2 linked regions of the Rattus norvegicus genome follow. Each later gene encodes a partner of the first gene's protein in a complex. Links are inferred from orthologs where the notes say so. Each region holds a gene or a part of one and is shown in the gene's direction. Other genes may lie near its edges.

What was found. Proteins that work in one complex are often made in the same cells at the same time.
Region 2: Spag5 (region 1) and Knstrn share a complex: the UniProt entries of both Homo sapiens proteins name them as parts of the astrin (SPAG5)-kinastrin (SKAP) complex. The link is inferred for Rattus norvegicus from reciprocal best matches to the Homo sapiens genes SPAG5 and KNSTRN.

What each region holds. Positions count from the first base shown.
Region 1 is NC_086028.1:63,696,186-63,699,838, forward strand, and holds part of Spag5 (sperm-associated antigen 5), read left to right. Parts: 5' UTR 1-708; coding exon 709-759; intron 760-947; coding exon 948-1,070; intron 1,071-3,098; coding exon 3,099-3,653. UniProt on the Homo sapiens protein: Essential component of the mitotic spindle required for normal chromosome segregation and progression into anaphase. Required for chromosome alignment, normal timing of sister chromatid segregation, and maintenance of spindle pole architecture.
Region 2 is NC_086021.1:126,271,615-126,274,918, forward strand, and holds the end of Knstrn (small kinetochore-associated protein), read left to right. Parts: coding exon of another isoform or gene 1-49; intron 50-2,154; coding exon 2,155-2,286; 3' UTR 2,287-2,732; downstream 2,733-3,304. UniProt on the Homo sapiens protein: Essential component of the mitotic spindle required for faithful chromosome segregation and progression into anaphase.

The sequences.
Region 1 (3,653 bases):
TTTTAAGAGGCTGAGGGCCAGGCAGTGGTGGTGTGGCACACGCCTTTCTTTAAAACCTGCACTCAGGAAGCAGAGGCAGGCGGATCTCTAGAATTTGAGGACAGCCAGGGCTACACAGAGCAACTCTGCGTGTGTGTGTGTGTGTGTGTGTGTGTGTGTGTGTGTGTGTGTGTGTGTTAATAATATAGCATATAGCAAGCACTTGAAACAGTGCCGGGATCATCATAAATGTACAGTACAGTACACGTCAGCTATTATTCTAGTAATCCCGTTCCGTTACAGTAGGCTCCGAGGTTAAACACAAGGCAGGCGCAGAAATTCTGAAGAGGCGTTACCTGAAGGCTGAAGTTGGGCATTTAGGAACTCCCTCAGGCCTTTATGAAACTGGCACCTACTCCTGGGCAGCCCAACCTCGAGTGAAGTGCGGCTCATTCGGTAACCGGGGAAACGGAGCCACTGAAACCGGACTCCTCGACTCTCCAACTTCCCAGAGTCCATGACTCTGGAGGACATACCCACCAGCCGGATGCTCAAGTGGAGGCGTTAGGCTAAGCGCCCAGCCGCCCGTGGGGGCGTGACGCACGCAGGTCCCACCCACTATACGTACCGCGGCCCCGCAGCCAATCCGGAAACGCGTATTGGGTTCAAATAGAGGCGGCGGGTGAATGTGGCGTTTTCGACTTGGTCAGATAAGTGGTCTAATTAAAGATGTGGAGGGTGAAAACACTGAATCTCGGCTTGTCGCCTTCGCCCCAATCGGTGAGGAGAGAATTTTCGCGGACAGGGCGCTACCTGGGCGGGGTGCGGGCGGTGCCGAGGCCGGTGAAGTCTGGCTCCCAACGAACTGGGGTAGCGAGAGGCAGTGTTGACCCCGCGGCCTAGCGGGTCGTGGGAAAACACTCTCAGAGGCTGAGCCCAGGTTTCCTCACACTCGCTTTCTTTCTCAGGGGAAACCAGCTATGAGAACTCCTCTCCGAGAGCTTAAACTACAGCCCGAGGCCCTCGCTGATTCAGGGAAAGGTCCTATGTTCTCCTCGCTGACCCCATACCTGCGCAGGCTGGATCTGAAGGTGAGATTTTAGCTTCACAACTGGGCTGTTTGCCCAGGCTCAGATGCTCAGAGGAACAGAGGGCCAAGGCTGGAACATAATTAATAACGATAATGAAGTCTTCTACTTCCGTGACATCCATTTACAGCTATTCAGGCCAACAGAGAGGTGCCCTGGGGTGGTTAAAACGAATCCACTGAGAACCCATATCTCTATTTAGCTTGGGTTCGGTTTTTGCTGTTTTCTTTGCCCCCTATCTAGTTTTTGACCTTTACCAAATTCCTGAGAAATACTTACACTGCCACATTTATGGAGAGATCTGTCTCCAAGAGTGAGACCGTGTCCATATATCCTATGGGGTCGTTAGAATTTTCCTGTAATCCAATACTTTAAACCTTGCCGAGTTGCTTACATTAATCTGTACTTTTTAAGTTAGAAGGTTTTCGGTTGTTGTGGTTTTGGTTTTTGGAGACAGGATTTCTTTGTGGCTGTCCTGGAATTCACTCTGTCGACCTGGCTGGCCTAAAACTCAGAGATCTGCTTGCCTCTGCCTCTCCAGTGCTGAGATCGAAGGTGCAAGCCACCACTGTCACCACCCAGCTTCTTTTCTACTTTTAGACTTAAGTTTTTTAAAAATGTTTTTTATTACTTGTCAAAGGACTTAGGAGAAATAGTACAAAGAGAAGGACTTGAGAGAAAGTACAAATTGCTTTTGTTAAATTTGTCAAGAAAGGAGTTTGACCCCCTGGGTTCTTTTTTTTTTTTTTTTTTTTTTTGGTTCTTTTTTTCGGAGCTGGGGACCGAACCCAGGGCCTTGCGCTTCCTAGGTAAGCGCTCTACCACTGAGCTAAATCCCCAGCCCCAACCCCCTGGGTTCTTTAAAGACATTTTGTAGAACTACTTGGGAAATTGTCCTGAAGAAATTGCTACTATTTCCTCTTCTTGTAAGGAGAACCATGAAACCTACCATTCTTTCAAAATATGAAAGCTTGCTTTTTATTTCTTTGACCATGATTTTGTTATTTTATTTTATTTTATTGAACGTAGATGTTTGTGCTTGCTAGACAGATACTATACAACTAAACTATACCCCCATCCTATTTCATTAACTTTATCTATTCTGTCTTTAGTAAATCAATATTTTTGTTTGTTTGGTTGGTTTTGTTTTTTTGAGACAGGGTTACTTGGTTACTCTGAAACTCACTCTGTAGGCCAGGCTGGCCTCGAACTCAGAGCTGCCTCTGCCTCTGCCTCTCTGCCTCTCTGCCTCTCTGCCTCTCTGCCTCTCTGCCTCTCTGCCTCTCTCTCTGCCTCTCTGCCTCTCTGCCCCTCTGCCCCTCTGCCCCTCTGCCCCTCTGCCCCTCTGCCCCTCTGCCCCTGCCTCTGCCGAGTGCTGGGATTAAAGTATGTGCCACTCCCAGCTGGCATCCCTGAGCAATCCCTGAGTTACCCTTGTGTAACTCTAGATTCTGACAGTACTTGAAAACATCCCCCATTCTCTATTGGGTCTCTCCTACCATGTCTCTTGAGACGTTGGTTGAAATTAGAAGAGGGGGGTTGGGGATTTGGCTCAGTGGTAGAGCGCCTAGCAACCGCAAGGCCCAGGGTTCGGTCCCCAGCTCCGAAAAAAAGAAAAAAAAAAATTAGAAGAGGGCATGGCCAGGTCATTTTCAAGCTAAGTCTACCATTGGCATAATAGATTTGCTTAGTCTGTTTATACTGTGGGCTGCACCTCCTTCCTATATGGATGGGATGCGTAGGAGCCAAAGTGCTTTCCTATCTTCCTTTTCCTACTGGTAGTTAACTTCTTCCTTCAGAAGAGATAATAAAGGGGTTGGGAATTTAGCTTAGTGGTAGAGCGCTTGCCTAGGAAGCGCAAGGCCCTGGGTTCGGTCCCCAGCTCCGAAAAAAAAAGAACCAAAAAAAAAAAAAAAAAAGAAGAGATAATAAGACTGTTTTTTCTGAGTTTGGATTTTGCAATGTACCCACTGTTATATGTTGAGGGCTGAATTGGACTGCCTTTGTCAACTATTTTGTTTCTTTTGGCAGGAAAGGCGCAACAGCTCATCTCCAGTGAATTTTGTTAATGCAGAGAACTCATCTCCAGTGGATTTTGTCAATACTGAGAACACATCTCCAGTGGATTTTGACAATACTGAGAACAACTTCCTTTCAGAACAGTTCAGCCATCCTTCAGAGTACATAGAAGCTTGTCAGCGTGAATCAGATCTAACTCCTGAAAGCAGCTCTCCTTTCAACACACTGGAGAAGGCAGTGGAAGCAATGGATGATTTTGTGGCAGAACCAATAGATGACGGTATAGTTAAGACCATGGTTCTTTTACCCTTTTCCTTAGGGCAGCAGCAAGACCTGATGCTCCAGGCTCACTTAGATACCACAGCAGAGAGAAATAAAAGCTCTCTAAAAGAATCTTTGGGGCTAGAAGACCTGGTGGAAAAGGAGGCGGCACCTTGTGTGGAAGACAGCTTACCAGAAACTGTTGCTATCAGGCCTGAGCAACCCATCTCTCAGGACCCTCCATTAAGAGACAGTAACACTGAAGCTGCACCTGCGGGCTCAGTTCCTTCTGAAAATGTCTTGGAT
Region 2 (3,304 bases), on another chromosome or scaffold:
GCTATGCAGTCCCAGGATGATCCTCTTGCCTCTTCGCTGGGATTACAGGGTGAGCCACCATGCTTGGCTTGCTTTTTATTTACTTATTTTTTAACATTTATTTTTACTTATGTGTATGTGAATGAGTATCACGTATGTGCAGGTGCCCATGGGAGACATAAGAGGACTTCGGATCCCCTAGAGTTAGAGGCAGTGGTGAGGTGCCTGACATGGGAACTAAAAACAACTCTAGTTGCCTAAAGGAGCAAGGGGTAGCCAACTGCAAAGGTGTGTCCTATGGTGTGAATGTCTGCAGGTGTGAATGTCTTGCAGGTGCATAGTGCATACATACCCATGCATGGACGCAAACTCAGGTCATTAGGCTCCGTGGCAGGCACCTTTACCCTTTGAGCCAGCTCACCTGCCTGGCTCCCATTCGGTTGGTTTGTTTGATTTGTTTGTTTTGATTGTCCCTACCTCCAGGAACTGCAGAGCTGAGGGCTAACCCACTCCTTATCATGGTTGCAGCTCTGGGAGGACAAACCCCCGAGTCATTTTTACCTCCTGAAGCCTGGGCTTCTGGAGTGTCACCATGGAGTGGGCCTCCCCTGTATGGCTTTGCTCCCTGGGAAAGAAGAGGCTGAGGGGGAAGGGATGGCTCCCTACAGTCCTGAGTTGGGGACAGGGACAGGAAGGAGGACATCAAATGGCCAGGGCTCCCTGCGTGGGTGGGGCTGACTCAGAGGTGAGAAGCCATAGAGCAACAAGGATCAAGTCTCTAGGGATGTCCTAAATAAAACTCCCAGATCAGTCCTAGGTCAAGGGTCAACTCCCTCCTTCCCTTCTGGAGGGGTCCAAGACACTCCACTGCACTGGAGAGGTCTACACTTCAGTCTGGGCTCTCTGCAAGCAACCTGTCGTAGCTCACTACTATTGACATCCAGATCCATGGAAGCATTGCACTTAGGTGGGCAAAAAGGGCAAGGGCAAGGGCCTGCTGCGGCTGAGGTCAAGGGTGGGGACAAGAGCAGCTCCTAGGGCTTGGAGTTAGGTGGGTAAGTTCCACATGTGCCATAGAAGGAGCCCATAGCCCCAGGCCCAGTATACTTGTTTGTTTTTAATGAACGATTTTGAAATAATTTTAGATTGATAGAAAAGTTGCATAGCTAATTTAGAAAATTCAGTCCCCCTAGGGCTTATACCACACACTGTCCTCGCTGCTGTGCCATCGTTACCTGAGCTCCCAGACTTTGTACTGAATCAATTTCTTTCTTAGATGTTCTTTTTTCTTTTTGTGATCCTGAGGTCTTAGAAAGGTTCCTGGGTATAAAACCACTGCAAGACCCAGGGAAGAAAAGTTTCCACACCTCCAGTCGGCCACACCGTAGTACTCAGAGTTGAAAGCTGAGACCTCGAAATCCATGCTAAAAAGACTTTCTCAAGAGGCCTGAGCAAAATGTCCAGATTGTAGGGCTAGAGGGATGGTCATCGGTTGACAGCATTTGCTGCTTCTGTAGAGGTCCCAAGTTCTGCCCCCTGCAGCTCATAACTTCATAACTCCAGCTCTAGGGATCTGATGCCCTTTCTTTTCTCCTCTCCATGGATATTCGAGGACACACACAAATTAACAAGAAAAAAAAATTAGAAACCAGGCATAGTAGCACACGCCTTTAATCTGCATAAGTTTGAAGCCTGGTCTATTTGGTAAGAATCTTGTAGTCAGGAGCTGGAGAGATGGCTCAGTGGTTAAGAGCACTGACTGCTTTTCCAGAGGACCTGAATTCAATTCCCAGCAACCCAGATGGTGGCTCACAACCATCTATAATGTGATCCAATGCCCTCTTCTGGTGTGTCTGAAGACAGTTGCAGTGTACTCATATGTAATAAGTCTTTTTTTTTTAAAAAAAAAAAAGATTCTTGTACTCCTTCAGATTGCCAGATAAATCGTGGGGCAGGAGACACAGACAATTTCATTGCCCTAGTTTAAATACAGGAGTGGGAAAATTCCCCAAATCAGCCCAGATAAATCCCCAGTGGGAAATAAGATAGTCCTCTATGTGGCGCAGGTATAATGTCTTTATATCTGTCTGGTATAAGGTGTCTGGGTCAGGTGTAGTCTTTCTTGTGACTAAGAGTTTTGTTATGGGTTTTCCTTTGGAATGATTTCCCTTTCAGGCCTTGAAGGTGAAGTTGAAGTTGAAAGAAAAAGAAAGGATCCAGTTCCTGGAACAGCAAACCTTAGGTAAGGACGAAGCCAGTGACTTCACAATAATCCTGGAGGAAATGGAGCAGCTCTTAGAAATGTAATGCAAGGCAAGCGTCCAGACAGCTTCTTCCTGCATAAACTCTCATCGGAGGCCACTTAGGATATCTTCAAGGACTCACCGTCCCTTAGGTAAAGACCTTCTGTAGCAGTTGATCCGATAAGGGCAGTTGATGCTGGGGGTCCTCCTTTAAGCAGATTGCCCCACCTTCAGATGGCTCAGCTCTCCTGCAAGAGAGGAACCTGGGAGTTTGACTCCACTTCCTGCACAACAGAGAGAGCAACAACCTTAGAACTAGGATAGTAAACCAGCCATGGAGACTCTCGAGACTCTTACTTGGAAACACGGGAGGAAAGCCCACACCGAGACAGCACGTGCGCTGTGCGGGAGCTGTCACTTCAAGCTATGCTGTCCCCTTTGTCTGGTTGAGCTAAGTTTATGAACTTGAAATCCTTGAAGTCTTTTGGCGTAATAAATTGGGTGGAGGTATACAGAGTAATGCCTAACTGAAACTATACCTAGAGCTTTTGGAATAAATATCTCCATGAATGTTAATATTCTGACTAACACTAAGGAATGAAAGTGGCCTTTTTACCCCAGAGTGGTGGCTCATGTCTATAAAAATCATAGGACTTGGGAGGCTGAGGCAGGAGGATTGCCTTGAGTTAGAAGATAGCCTAGGTTGGGGATTTAGCTCAGTGGTAGAGCACTTGCCTAGCAAGTGCAAGGCCCTGGGTTCGGTCCCCAGCTCCGAAAAAAAAGAAAAGAAAAGAAAAAAAGAAGATAGCCTAGGCCGCAAAAATCCTGCCTCAAAAAAGCAAGGAAAATGTTGGGGTCTAGGAAATTGCCACACAAACCACCATATGTACCCCAATCTCAGTTAAGCAAGATTTGTTTATTGATCGCACACCATAATACTGGAAGTCCAGGTCCACAAGAAGGAAAAATGTAATAGCAGCACTAGTCTGCTCCCAGAGTAGACTTTTTATAGGAAAAGCCAGGTTTAAAGTTTAAAGGGAAAGGAGGGGAGCAGTTGGCTTACCCGGTAAAGTATCATCAGC